Linked DNA regions of Lytechinus pictus. The protein of the gene in region 1 binds, or shares a complex with, the protein of each later gene. Links are inferred from orthologs where the notes say so. Each region holds a gene or a part of one and is shown on either strand. Other genes may lie near its edges.

Region 1 (7,606 bases):
GCGTGCTCAGTGGCGGTTGTGGACACCCCTCCCTCACTCCCCTTTGATGATGGGGGGGGGGGGGCAATTATTGTATTATGGGTTTCAAAATAATAAATTAGAGTGAAAACAGTGGCGTTATGAGCAAAAAAAAGGTTGTGGGGAACAATATGGCATGTGTAGGAAAACTTCGAAAAAGTCGCAAAGCGGAACTTGTTGCCCTTATTAAATGAAAATATGATTCTATGATAGATTATGACATAATATTCAACAAAATAACGTTTCACCCCCTTCCTTTCATTTTATTAGTTTATTTCCTTGCTGTTCCTTTTTTATGGTTGAACTTTTTTTCGGGGGGGGGGGGGGGACAACCCCCAGCCTCCTAGATCCTACGCCAATGGGTGAAAACGCATATTAATGACCTTTCATTTCCAGTTTACCCAAATACCGTGTGTATTAAATAGTAAGTTTCAATAGTTGATGTAATCATTTCGTGCTCGGTCGCCGCGCCTATTTTCATGTTATATGGTGCTGCTTGTCACAGATTTCGATCCACATGATGAGAGGATCCAACTTTCGCCAGGGGGGGGGGGGGGGGGGTATTTTCATACAGAATTCCCCAGATTATTTTTGAGGGGGTAGTCCTAACTAAAAATTGAAGTTTAAGGAAATATCGTGACATTATTCTTACCATAGATCCATGTTCTTACAAGCTAGATAGGTATCTCATTTAGCCTTAATAAATATTGTGAGCACGATCTCGGGTTTTTGAAATATTACATGTTTTAAGGCCTGAAAATTGAGTATTCTGAGCATTCTTTTTTAAATTACGATCAAGATTTTTATCTAAATAAATTTTGAAATTTATATACTGACCGAAAACTTAACACATTTTAAAGCACATTTTTTGTAACCAGGACTATGGTACTAAACAACTGATAAGAGCGCGAAGCGCGAGCTGAAAAATTTCGGAAAAATGTTGTTTGATATAGTAGAGCCGAAGGGGGGCTGACCACGGAAAATAAATTACAATCAGGGACACGTTGCACTAAACTTTTGCCATAAAAAAACTCTGGCAAACAGAATTATGCCATTAAAACTTACACATTTAAAAACTCAGGCAAAAAATGTCCATATAGTTTTTCTTTAATGCATGCATCAGGGCCCTGGTGGTCACGTTAACGTTTTTAGCCCTCCAGCCCGGTTGTTCTGTGGCTCTTGTCATGATCATTCTGGGATTGAGTTAAGAACGACAATTTCATCCATCCTATGTTCTCCCGATTATTATTTCAGTCGATAAAGACAATGGACTTTCATTATCTCCATCCAAGCAAAGATCGCTTAGATGGTGGCAGCAACCGTGTTTCAGAAAATGTAACTAAGGCAATGACATTGATCACGGACACGTGACAGACAAACAGAATACCACAAACCTTTTTGCTAATCAACAGAAAAACGATTTTGGTCGCTTGTTATTCTTTTCCATCTGCATCCATGCCACATTCCTAGACAATGGTTAAGCATGATCTAATCAATATCAAAACCTTGTCTTGTTCATCATTATTAGCGCTCCAAATGATTTGTCGATAATTTCACGTCGTCTAAGAGCTTTGGGATGTTTTGTTCTCTACAAAGGTATCATTCAGATGTTAAATGTTTTCTTTGAGGCTCAACTTTTATTATTTTTTCCAATAAAATGAAAAGAAACGTACCCTTTTCTGCGTTCATGCCTCATAATATTGATGAAAGCTTGTAATATACGAATTTAGCAATAGAATGTGTTTTGTTAGTTTTCTTCAGTGTCCAGGCGAAACTCATGCACACAAAAATAAGATAACACTTTAAGATATTTAACACTACACTTTAAGATGTTAAACTCTACACTTTAAGCTGTTTAACACGAACAGTCTACGGATAGCTGTTATTAAATATTTTTTTATCGACAGTAGATGAATGATATTGATGATAGATATTCATAACGAATCACTACTCTGTGTTTGGACACAATCATGAGCAATTATTGAAGGGCGGCAAATTTTCCCCTTTTCACACGCTGACCGAGGTGGGGTGGCAACGATTCGACCATCTAACATGTCTTATGCACTTTCGCAAAAAGTGGCAATTAAACGCAATGTGCAAAATGCAAACCAAAAAGAGACTGACCTTGGGGGGGGGGGGGTCGAATAAGCTTGTAATGAATTAAATTTAGGTATAACTTTTAATGCGTGCAAGCAGGCTCATGAAATGAGAATGAAGATGAAAATAAAGCAATAGAATAAGGGGAACTAAAAGTTTGAAGTTCGGTATAATTCGAATTAGGGCCGAGGGGATATCGTAAGCGCTTAAGAACTGCCATAAACAAATTGTTACAAATTTAGATTAAAATTATGGTTTAAAAGTTTAAACATTTGTTAAAGTGACGGATTTTAACTTCGTGCTTAAAATTTTAACACCTTTTTTTTTTTTTTTTGTAAGATGTGTGTCCAGGCAGATTGTGTGTCCGGATAATCAATTTTGAACAGTCATTTGAAAAAAAAATAATAAGCGAAGTTTCATCAATATTTAGTACAAAATATTAGGTAATATTACAGAGAACAACATAGAAGACGATTACAACTATTGAATTCATATTTTTAGTGTAATCCAAATACAAAAAATAAGGCTTCAAAATCATAAAGACAGTGTCCGGACACCCGATCCCCCTTGCTACTTACCACGGACGGATGTGGGTTGTTTCTAGGAGGAGAGATGTGACCATGGTAACCTTGCCACACCCTCCATATCGTCGCTGGGACATTGGCCGATTTCCCGGTCTTGGGCTTGATAGATTCCAAGCTGTAATCTTGGGCGTACAAACTCCCGTAGCGGTCAACGCCGGCTGCCTCGTCTTCGGGAAAAATCTCCCAACTGTCCTCGTGCTGGTTTTTAATTTCTTTTGCAGCGCATTTTGCCCCCGGTGTGGGTAGCATGTGAATGCACGCTGCTGCCATTTCGGTTCCTTCCGCTTAAAATATTAAACTATTGTTAAAATATCATTACTTTAATTTAATTACTTAACACCACCTTATCCGGGGAATGTTTTGTTTACTAATGTCCACTTCATGAACTTGTCGCGTCGTAATGACCATTGTCTTTGATGCATTATGTATACAACTGACGTCACAAAAGAAAAGTTTTGCGCGCACGCGCGTGTAATTAGAGGCTCATTATTGGTCCATTTGCCTTTATCACCTGACATTGGTAATTAGTCACGAGGTATTGATTTATAGTCTGCTATGCCATTGCGGTGGTTGAATGCACTACCAGTTGTATAAGTTTCTACATTATCATTAATGATTTAACGATCATGATTCCCTTTCACCCAGTATTGCTGTGGGTGATAAAGCGTCAGAAATTCAATATTTAGTTTCATTATCAAAGACTGTGTCCAAAAAAGACAACTATCGTATCACCTTGTCCAGGATTAAGTTTAGGCTTATGCTAGCATTTGGTTCTAATATCTTTTTGTTTTCATGTCGTGAATGATGTCCTTTCATTTTAATGAAAACTTTAAAATCCATTAATGGGGGATAATCTGCACTTTTTTTGTGCTATCAATATCCCCTCTTGAAAAAGAAAATATTTTAGCTGAACAGTGTGTTTGTTGTTCCTTGTCTTCACCAGTTATCAATGTGACATTCTCTCACAGTGACAGAAAAATACATCATTTTCTTTGTATTGTTTCAGTGTTCTATTGGAGGCATATCACTATACGGTATATATACATTCCTACATCCATATCCTAGTATCGTTTATGGTGACAAAACACCCCAATAACTCTCCCTGATTAACAATTTATAATCAAGAGCCTCCGTATTCCTGTCTAACCAATCCGAATAACATTGCCCATCATCATGGCCAAATTAAGAACCCACTTTGTATTTGATACTTTTGCCATGTATTTTTTTTTACTCGCACTATTGCAGTGAAAAAGCTGTACACTTTGGACCTATTAAAAAGCACAACAGACAAAAGAAAAAAAAAAGGGGGGGGGGGTACTCCTAATTAAGCCGCCTCCGAGGGGCCAGCTCAACATTGATGTGGTTTAAAAAAATGCCTGTACCAAACCCCACTTGGGCCGCGGAACGGTTTTGAAAGGGTGTGGGGGGGGGCTGACTATGCAACAAACCACAATCAGATGGTCATTTTTACGTTTTTGTACACGGTTTTGGAAAAACAAAGTGGGGGGCTGTGTTATCCGCGGCCCCCGCAAAGCTAAGTGTACGCTTTCGTGAAATATTTCAGAAAAAAATGAAATATGTATTATCGTCCATTATCTATTCTGAGTTTCTTATACGTTATAGCTCTATATACTCGCCCTGAATATTTTTTTTTCCGACGAATTCGGCGTCAGCGTCTTTGCGCGCATATTGGTCGCAGCTGGCGCTATCGACGATCGGCAGTTGCTACGGGAAACGTGCGACAAAACAGCCTTCGTCGATCGCAAGCTCTCGTTTCGCGGATTTCGTACGTGTACAATACACGGGAATCCAATACAAATTTTGTGTGTAGATTTCCTATGCAGAGCTAGCTAGCTAGATTAACGTAAACAATCTTCACTACGAAAAGATACATGGACTTGGCAGCGAGATTTCTTTGAAAAAGACTTGTTTCTGTTGATATTTTTACATCTTTAACTTTTGGTGAAGGACAGGAAAACTCACGAAAATGCCGGGTGTCGGCAAAACAAACAGCAACACTCCGATTACGGAGCAAATATCAGAATTGCAGCGTAAAATCTCCTTGTTGGGTGAGTAAAAAAAAAAATCATTTTGTGACTTGTCATGTCATGTGCAATGTAAATTAAATGGGGATGTAGAAATTGAAATAAATTGATACGCCCAGATCTAGATGACCATGACGTACTCTCATTGGTAACACTTAATGAAGTTTTTTTTCATAAACACAAGGGGCCATATTAAATTGGTAATGCAATGATAAAGTTTGACTTTGAGTTGAAGATGTTCAGAAATAAATGGAATCTGGACTGAACAGAACAGTGTCAAGACAAGCGTGAGTGAGAGAGACTGAACTGAAGTCAGTGAGATGTTATTTGTTAGGATCTATCAACAAAAATAAGCTAGGGCAGGTATTAGTCTATTTGAGACGAGACCAAAGTCAATGATCAAATGGATAAAAGGTCTTGTTGATGATTAAGTTTGGCAGAGGCCAGGGTCGCTGGCACATGTGTGACTGACAGTTCAAAAGCAGACTTGTAAGGGCTAAGCCTAAGGCAAGGATGGTTGTTCCAATGTTATCGACTACGACTACGTGGGATACAGTCTGGGGAGGGTAGGCCTAGTACTAGTAGTAAAATGAAAGAAATTGTGAAATAATCAAAATTGACAAAACGTAATGTTAAAGTCCTAGGCCTACTTGGTTTCCTTAGCTTAGCCTTAATTAGGGCTTTTAGTTAGGCTTAGATCTAGAATCTACATGTAGGCTGTAGCTGAATCTGTCTGTTTGGAGGAGTTTTTTGTTTTCACCTCCATACATTCTAACACATGGTCATGGAGGATGTGTAGTGACTAAAAACATCCAACGGAATTGGGAACCAACAACATCTGTTGCCATGTTGGGTTCCTGGTCCTGATCCTCAGGTGGATATTGATTACCAATAAAGAGAAACAAAAACTTTTGGTCTAGGAGACTAGGTTCTCTTTGACACGCTTACTATATTGAGGATGGTAAAAATCAGATAGGTCTATTGATCTTGGTGTCAGGAATTGATAAATAAATCCACAGAACAAAAGTTACATGTAGAATCTGTTCAGCATATTAGATGCAAAGATATTGGTATCAATTTGAATAATTTTACACATTGGATCTAATACTAGTAATACGCATCTGACTACATGGTTAAACTGGTTGATGAAAAATGGATGCCATGTTTATTAGAGTTTATCAATATGATCATTCCATTAATGATGTTTAAAGTCATATGATTTTTTTTCATATATTGTTCCATGTACATGTACCTAATTCAGTTCAATGATTATTTTATTTATTAATATTTGTTTAAAGATGGTGACAGGAAAGCATATTACGAGAGTTCCCAGTGGACCATTAAGCAGAACCTTGAAGTCATCCGTAAGTTGCGACAGGAAAACAAGACCCTACACAAGCGGCTAGCAGCAAGCAAGGCGGGAGATGACCGGGTACTGGATATTGCCTTCAAGAGTCGAGAGGTGGAGCGCGCCTCGCTCAGAGGCAAATCTGGACGGGTGGGTAACTTAAATGTTTCTTAACCCATTAGGTGCGAGTATATATGGGCTGCCGCTGGAGTCTATGGAAAACTTGTTATAGCAAAATCATCCAGTCTGCAACGGGTTAATCTTTCATGAAGTCATGAATAACCTTTGCAGCTTGGTAAAATAAAAAGGAAATCAGAAAAAAAAACCTTTAATATTGATCTTAATTTTGTTTTGTTTTTCAAACTACTCTAGGAATCAAACACCAGTTATGTACATGTATGCCACTATTAATTGATAACCAATGTTGTTGATAACTTAATGTTTTGACCAACATAAGGTATGCTAGTAAAACGTTATTTCAATTTTAATCTAGAGGAGAGTTTGGTCCTTGCATACTCCTAGTCTTAGTTTGGTTTGTTCAATCAGAAAAGTACTTGTACAGTATGATTATGAGAATACATGTATGATTTAGATTCAATTATATTCCTGTCTACCTCTGATATTGTGGTTATACATGTAAGTTTCTTTGTGTGTTTTTTTTTGCATATTATTATTGATAAGAATATCAGCTTAATAGATGTATCAGTTAAAGCTTTAACCGAATATTTTCCAGGGAAAGGTTTATAGTAGGCACATGCTGATAATTATACCAAGGTTTAACCCTAGTCTAACTTTAAAGTAGAATTTTAACCACACTTCTATTGAATGCTGGCTTCATAATATTTCTTCCATATTCATGGCAACTGTATTGTGCCAATCACTTCATTAAAATTCATTATATATTTGTATTTTCCTATTCACCCCATTTCAGTTAACTTTTGAAAACTTTTTTTGCAGCAGGATGAGAATAATGTTTAATTGGAGAATAATAAAAACTGGCACTCCATATAAGTGTGGTCGAATGCAACGCAGGTTTAACCTAACCATGGCTATAGAAATACATGTACCTCCCATATTGTTCAGTTACTGTCAGTGGGTCAGTGGTATTTTTAAAGTTGATCTCCCTCTTCCTAGTCTTTTTTCTTGAATTAGACATTCTTATGTTTGACACAGATGGGCAGGTATTTATTTCAATTATACCTTTAAAGAGAGTACATGTATTTTGTTTAAATTTGTTAGTGATAACAAAATATATCCCTTTATTGTGGCTTTACAGGAAGCAATCCGTATCATGGACCAGAAGGCGTGTGAGGCCAAGAAAAAACTCAATGCAGAGAAGTCCCAGACCCTGAAGCGATTGAAGAATTTTGCCGAGCTTGAGGTCCAGTATGATCAGATGATCAAGGATGCATCGGATGCAGAGGCTACCACAGCAGGGACATCAGAAGATGCCACAGTAAGTGAAACAACCATTTAGTTTTGTATTGTTTGAATTAATATGGTTTTCTTAAATT
Region 2 (7,939 bases), on another chromosome or scaffold:
GGATAGCTGAGGATTCTGAAAATAAGAGAGCAATACTGTTATAATGATAATATAGGGTATTTATATTGCGCACATATCCACCTTGTTAGGTGCTCAAGGCGCTCCTATATTACGCGGCTAAGCTAGGCGTTCACAGGGCACACAGCTTATTGAGGAATTACTTCCTACCGGTACCCATTTACCTCACCTGGGTTGAGTGCAGCACATTGTGGATCAGTTTCTTGCTGAAGGAAATTACGCCATGGCTGGGATTCGAACCCACGACCCTCTGTTTCAAATTCCGAAGACTTATCCACTGGGCCACAACGCTCCACATCATCATCAATCACCATTTTAACACAATTATTGTGATTATCACCACTCTAACAATCACTATCATCATAACCATTAATCAAATCTTTATAAATTATTGTCATTATCGTTATATCATGATCCTTATCATTTTCATGATTATTGTTATTGCAATAACTAATATTACCATTATTATCATCATATCCACATCATCATTATCATCATCACCATTACCATCACCAGCATCATCATTTCATTTTCATTTTATTCTGTTTTCTTTAATATCTCAGTTCAAAGATGTCAGCTCTATTTCGAGAAAATTTATTGTGGTTGTGAGTACCAGTAATCTTTCACAATTCAATTCAATTCAATTTCAATTTATTTCATTCATAAAAACACATAAATATACATAGTAATAAACAAAATATCAATATAAGAATGTGGAGACAGCTTAGAAGAACCAAGTCTTATACAGTGCTGCCACCAAAATGTAAGCACAAAAATTTTAAAATGAACATTTTAACATAATAACTAGAAAATAAGGATGATAAATACAAATACAAATTATTAATAATATGCCCAGATTCAGGCATCCTATTGGAAACTACCTATGCCAGCCGCACAGAAACGTTGTTAGTTAAACAAAGCGCTAACAGCAAGCCCAGTCATATCTTTCGGATTGTGAAGCCAAAACATTTGATTTCCACATGCAAGTAATGCATTGTTGTAACATTAGGCATCGCTGTCACATTGCCGATTGTATCAGAGCCTCCGTTACATGTAGCGCATCGTAAATGCTAACAACGTTTCTGTGCGGTCAGTACAGGAGGGATGCACAAGCCAAAAACATCTTCAACATATTCTCCGCTTGGTAAAGGCATGTGAATGGGGTAAATTGCCACTTGTGTCCATTTTGTATTAAATCTGGTCTCATCTTACATGGTTTAATCCTAGTTGGTCTACAACCTCTTTGTCTTCTGACGTTTTGGTAATGCATTGTCATTTAACCCAGTTAACCAGTTTCACTATTTTCAATTTTTGTCTAAAGCCACTTAAATCTCCTTCCTACAAAGAGTAAGACCTCCGAAAGACTGCTGTAAGACCATGAAACTTGCTTGATCTTTCAAGGGTCTTTCAATCAACTTTCAAAAGATCTCTGAGGTCTTTCACGTTTCCTGGTGGATCTTTCAGTGGTCTTCGTAGTCCTCAAGAAAATGTTTTTGGTGGTCTTTCAGGAGTTTTTCAATGGTCTTTCCATGAACTTTCAAAGTTCTTAATAGTCTTTCCATGATCTTTCGACAGTCTTTCAAGATTTTTTGGGAAATCACTGTAGGACTCGTGAGAGATCATTCAAAGATCATTGAAAGACCAGGGAGAGTCCATTGAAAGAATTCTTAAAGATCACTTGCTGCATAAAAGATCTCTGGAAGATCATTGAAAGATATCTATAGGACTTGTCTAAGTCTAGTAAGACAAAAAGTATCAATCAGTATTTCACAGAGTCGTCAAATTTCAGTGATCTTGGAGACTGCTGTTAAGACCTTGCTATTTTTGGGTCTTTCAGAAGTCCTTCCAAGGTCTCCCCTCTGTGGAATGGGGGCCTAATCTATGAATAGATTAACTGTTCACATGAACCAAATTTTCATTTGATAAAGTGCAAAACAATACTGTATGAGCCAAATTTTCTTTTGACAAAGTGTGCAAAAGGGGGAATTGAGACTATCTGGGCATTAGACTACTGTAAACAAAAAGTATTAGACAAATTGATTGTTGGAACGAAAGGTAATTAGACCAAATTGAGAGTACATGTGCACCGAGTGGGTTTAATTCTGATGGAATTTAGACTAATTGCAAAATCATATTGGATCATATTGGAACAGCTCAGGCATAGAAATCAAAAGATGAATAAAGGAACTACCTGACTAACACGGGAATCAATCTGGTCTACCCCCACTGCAGCACCGCCTGAAGCTCCATCTGCCTTCTTCTTTTTCTTTTTCTTCTTTTTCTTGTCTTTTCCTCCATCATCATCCGCTCCACCTGTGGCCCCTTGCTGACTGGTTGAAGGCTGTTCTTCGTCTAAATTACTGGTAGGACTATTGAAGGAAGAGAGAGCGAGCGAGAGAAAATGTAGTGTATTACAGTACGACAGTATACCATAGACATGTCCACTCCTCTGCCGTACTTTGGCAAAAGGAAGCAAGTTACAAATGAGAAATGTGTGTTTGTCATTTACATAGGCGTAAATGCAATTTAACATCACATTATCTTTGATCAATATCTTTTCATCGAACAATCATTTCTTCCCAAAATTTTGCCTGAACGTGCAATATAGAAAGTATGTTCCAGAAACAACTCAAATTCGACTGATGTGTCACTTGCTTCCTTTTGCCAAAGTTGGGCAGTCCTATAGTTCAGCTTTGGGATTCAGCTTTGGGAAAGATAGTTACCCCCTGAAATAGCCCAATTTGTACTCATACCCTCTCTTAGCAGAAATCCTAAACCCCCCAAGTTCAATTTCTCCCAAACGAAAAGATGATCTGTAGCATACTGACTAGAAACAAAGATTTTAAACCAGTCTGCTACAGGCCACTGCAGCTCTCAGTTACCTGGTAGTCTTGCAGGAAACTTCCAAACTTGTTGGGTATCAAAAGGGTATATATTTTCAACAGCCTGGAGGCCCTGGACACATTTAGAGGGTTTAATCATACTATCTACCTGCAATCATTCAGCATGGATTGAAATATTCAAACAGGTAATTGACAAATATTTTATTTTATCACTTTTCACAATCAATAATTATGCAAACAACTGAATACTTTCCATTAATATGGCAACAAGGATTGCTTGAAAGGGGACATCTTTTCATGCTTGATTTGAAATTAGGGAGGAGAAACTTGATGAAATATTTAGGTTTCTCCATTATCAAATTTTTCACAACTAAAGTAAGAGTCCTCTTTATCACTTCTCTGTCACTCACAGCCCTTATTTTTCTATCATCTTCTTTTTCTTTTTTCTTTTCTGTTTTCCTTTTTATCTTTTTTCTCCTATCATTATTTCTTTTAGAGCTTCTCCCCTCCTTTCACTCTCGAGCTCTCCCCCCCCCCCTTCTCCAGTTCCTTGTCCTCCTCATTTGTCTTCATTCTACTCCTATTTTGAATAATTCTTCCTCCTTCCTCTCCATCTTGTTCTTTTTTGTCATTTGCTATTCTTTTTCTTATCATTCTTCTTTGAACTTATTCTTCTTTTTCTTCTCCTCCTATCTCTTTCCTTTCTTAATGTCCCACCCTTTCTTCCTGAGTTCCTCCTTCTCTTAATTCTTTTTCTCAGTCTTCTTTTTCTTTTTTTATTTCCACCCCCTCCTCTGCTTCTAAGCTAAGTTCCATCTCCTTATTCTTCTATTTTCCTTCTTTTTTTAAATTCTTTCCTCTTATTTTTTTTCTACCTCCTCCCTTCTTCAACTTCACTCTTAAGTTCTCTTTCCCTCCTCGTTGTTGTTGTTCGATGTGGGTCATTTCCACACCCAAATGATGATCTCCTTGATCTTCAAAATGATCTTCCCTCCTCCCTTTATTCTTTTCTTTCCCTTCTCTTCTTTTCTTCCCCCCCCCATCTCTTTTCTTGATCTTGCTCTTATTGATCTAATCTCATTTTCAGACATAGAGTTAGACTCATTTTTATTTTATTTTTATCTCATTTTATTTCATTTCAAGTGGTATTTCTTCTTTTCGCTTAAATTTAAAGAATAAAAAATTATAAAGTTTTGCTCATTTCAATATTTTCTTCTTCTTTCACTTTCACTCCTCCATGGCATGCTACTGCTAGTAACTCATGGCATGACTGAGGACACCATCAAGAAGATTATTTAGGCCTAAACTAAGTAAGTGCACGATCAGTTACAAGACAGCCACCAACTTGAGCATGAGCGCCCAGGCCCAGCGCGATTACAGCTGGTGAGGTACTGCCCCGGGCGCGATCGGCGCAGGCCCGTGCGCGCGCCAGACCGTGCCCGTGCAGCTCAGTTGACTTGAATGAACACTTCCGAACACGGGCACACGGCTGGCCTGGACGGAAATGAAGTGCAGTCGTGCAGAATCCTGCATGTTGTCAATATGGTATTAGGGGATTTTAAGTGTATAGCTGAATAAACTGATAACTATTTCACTTACTCTGTTTCAGTTTGTGCTTCACTGCCAGCAGTTTTTTCTCCATTTGTAACAGGGTCAAGATTCTCTTCTGTCACCGTCTGCGAGTCCATGTTCTCCGCCATGTTTTTTGGCTAAATTGGTCAGATAATTTTTCTTTTTTAAAGAGTTGGAAGGGTCTAACTTAAAACGCATTCAGTTTAAAATAAAATTGATATTTATTTAATCACTAAATTATTTTTTTTCTTTCCTAAAAAGGATAAAAATATAATAACAAAATTAATAACAAGAAAATAGAGAAAACATTTTGCCCAAGCGCATGCGCAAAATGCATAGAGACGTGAAGCTTTATCGTCAACAACCCCGCGAATTTGTACCGTCCTAGATCATTATACCATTTAATTTGGAGGGAAATCGGTTTCTTTTGAATAAATATCACCATGAAAGGAAGTAAAAAGAATGCTGGAAATCAGGCAAAAGAATTCCACTGTAAGTATTAGGTATTTAATTAGCCCAAGGCCAAACTTATTCGGTACCTTCCGGAAGTTCCGACCTGAGTGAGGCAGAGCTGCGCCCTGCGACGCGCCCGACCTGGGGCCGGGCCCGATACCTTCCCCAGAGCTCCGGCACCGTATCGGACCCTAGGCTAGCCCCACTCACACAACATGCGAGGTTAGTATTACTAACCTCGCACAACACATGTGATTTCATAGTGCATTTTGACGTTTTCATTCATCACACGAATGTGAGGGACTAAACTACGCCAAACCTTTCAATATTTGTCCGCTATGTTAATCTTGATCGTATGATCAAGTTTTTATGAAAAAGCAATTATAAATTATTTATTAAAGTGTTTTTATCGCTTACCTCCAAATCTCAACCAGGATACTTCGCTCGGTCCGTCCTTAGTCATCCTTCGTACTGCGGTGGAAATTACGCAAACAACAATCGAAATGCGAAATTTTCCTATCGAACATTCTCGATTCAAGTCGTCGGCGCATAATAGGAAATTGTACCAAAAATCAACATAGTTCTCTATTTATTCAAACAATTTTTTCTGGGGTGCACTTGACCTTTAAGAGATTTTCCAATGAAAATATTACATGGAACTTGGAAATACAAATCATAATTTGGTTGAACAAAATGTTTTCTGTTAAAGTATAAAACAGAAGAGGAACATATCCTTCACGTATTTTTATATGTTTGCACAAAAAAGGAGAGGGAAAGGGAAAGGAAAAGGGAGGGGGAAAGGTAGAGGAGAGAGAGGGAAAAGGAGACCATAAAATAGAAAGAAAACAAAGGAAAGGAAGAGGGGAAGGGAGAGGGAAAGAAAAATGGAAAGAGCGAGAAAGGAAAGAAAAGAAGGGAAAGGAAAAGCGAAAAAGGGAAGGGAAAGGGAGAGAAGAAAAGAAGGGAGAACGAAAATGGGGAAAGGGAGAAGGAGAGGGGATAATGAAGGGGATAGGAAAATGTCAAGTTTGAAGATCTGAATATTAACACTAAAACAAAATTAGACTCCCATGTTTTATTTATAAAAATACCATCTTTTTCATGATTATAAAGGTTCAACGTCCCTGTTCTAGGTCTAAACTTCAACATAAATCTACTGGCGCTTCGCGCTTGAATTCTGGAGGTCATTCCTCTTTTAAAAGTATAGGTAATCTGTCGGACTTTTCAAATCCCAAATTTAAATCTTAAGCGCAAATGCCCTCGCATTATTTTTCATTTAGATACAGTCCTGTCATCAATATCAAAAACTCTAAGCGCGAGCTTCGCGCTGGCATCATTTTTGTAAGTGACATTTATGATGTTGTTCATATTTAAAAAATGTCCATTTGTTGAGGTTTAAATGTCCAAAAGTTCAGCGCTCGCATAATTTGTAAGGTAAATAGACCTACCCTTTTAATTGTTATACAAAGGCGCTTATACAACGTCACACAATATTTAAATAAAAGAGTTGCCAAAGCTGTAGTACATGTATAACTTCACACACACACATATATATATATATATATATATATATATATATATAGGTCTCCTCATCATGGTTATAATAAGTGCTCAGAATGTTTTATTTTCAAGTCCTTGTATCAGAATTTTCAGCTCGGGCAGCTCTATCGCATTTTGATTACTATCCTGTTGATTTATTTACTTGAACAAAATATTTAAAATGTCCAGCTTTTAGAACAGATATCAAAAAAAGGTATTCACCTTTGATCATAGATGAGGAAGAAGAAAAAAGTGAAAAAAAATAGGAAACAAACTAACGAATTAATGTGACATAATTTTTCTTCATTTCAAGGCGACTCTTTACATTTCATCATCGCTGATGGCGCTACAATAGAAAATACCGCTTGACAGCAAAAAAAAAAAAACAGAAAGAGGAAAATAATGCTGAGCGTCTAAAATGCAGCTAGCAGTACAAGCTGCAGAACCGTCGTAAACAAACATCTTGTGAATAATATCGCGCGCCCTCTAGCTCTTTAAGCAAAAGTTTACAACCACAATTACCCTGCGGTATCTACGTGAAGATCACGAGAAAATGCATTTTTTATCTTAAAAACACACCAAAGAGAAGACAAGAAACGATCCATATGGTTCGGTAAGTGTCATAGCACAATTAGAAACATTATTTTAAAAGGAATGGCTTAGTTATTTTAGTAAAAAGGGTGTGAAAAATTCGCGTGCACCATGTGCATATGAATCCTTCGCACGCGAGATGCATTGATCCCATGAGTGGGCTAGCCCAAGCGTTTTGGCTTTGCCGGCTTGCCGCATGCAAAAACAACATCCCCGCAAACAAACAGGCTGCGGGATGCTGTAAGCTCCAGAGACCATACCCCACTCAGGAGGATTTATAAATAAAAAAAATTAAATATTGTATAATTCACACAATAAAATTAAAAACAAAATACCGGTACTTATATAGTGAGTGAGGCATCATCATTCTCATTTGACAGTACTGTCAGTGTCAGTAGAGGCGCACGGCCAATATGGGAGACTCTCTCCAATACTAATACTAATAGGGGAGACAATCTCCCACATTGGAGACTTGCTTTGCAAAAGGACAAAAGAAACAACACCAACAAAAGCATGATTTTTTCCACCCAAAATTTTGTCTCACTGAGGTCAGAAGCCCATTTGTTTTGTGTGTGATTGACAACAAAAATCCTTATCAAAACAAAAGTAGACGGTGAATTTTAAAGTAGACGGTGAAAAGGGGTAATTTTTCATGAGGAATCTGCTTATCACATTTTTATTTGCCTCCAAGGTAATCCTTTTGCAGCAAATGTAAACAAAGGAAATTGGTCTCCAAAACTGGAGACTGTCTCTGAAATTGGATACCCAAATTCTTTACAAAAGTCTCTGATATTGGAGATAATCTCCCACATTGGAGACAGTCTCCAATATTGGCCGTGCACCTCTACTGTTTGAAATTTTGATTTTGAGTTTTGCGTATCATTCACTGTTTTGTGAAAAATAAGTAAAACTTTAAAGTCTTT

The links. Proteins that work in one complex are often made in the same cells at the same time.
Region 2: outer dynein arm-docking complex subunit 3-like (region 1) and calaxin-like share a complex: the UniProt entries of both Homo sapiens proteins name them as parts of the outer dynein arm-docking complex. The link is inferred for Lytechinus pictus from reciprocal best matches to the Homo sapiens genes ODAD3 and CLXN.

Annotation. Positions count from the first base shown.
Region 1 is NC_087259.1:10,445,706-10,453,311, reverse strand, and holds the start of outer dynein arm-docking complex subunit 3-like, read left to right. Parts: upstream 1-4,417; 5' UTR 4,418-4,686; coding exon 4,687-4,768; intron 4,769-6,042; coding exon 6,043-6,242; intron 6,243-7,368; coding exon 7,369-7,548; intron 7,549-7,606. Other genes in the region: uncharacterized protein LOC129277736, read right to left, coding at 2,694-2,969. UniProt on the Homo sapiens protein: Component of the outer dynein arm-docking complex (ODA-DC) that mediates outer dynein arms (ODA) binding onto the doublet microtubule. Involved in mediating assembly of both ODAs and their axonemal docking complex onto ciliary microtubules.
Region 2 is NC_087257.1:8,581,894-8,589,832, forward strand, and holds the start of calaxin-like, read left to right. Parts: upstream 1-4,738; 5' UTR 4,739-4,876; coding exon 4,877-4,925; intron 4,926-7,939. Other genes in the region: glycylpeptide N-tetradecanoyltransferase 2-like, read right to left, coding at 1-15, 2,210-2,387, 4,461-4,561. UniProt on the Homo sapiens protein: Component of the outer dynein arm-docking complex (ODA-DC) that mediates outer dynein arms (ODA) binding onto the doublet microtubule. Seems to regulate the assembly of both ODAs and their axonemal docking complex onto ciliary microtubules.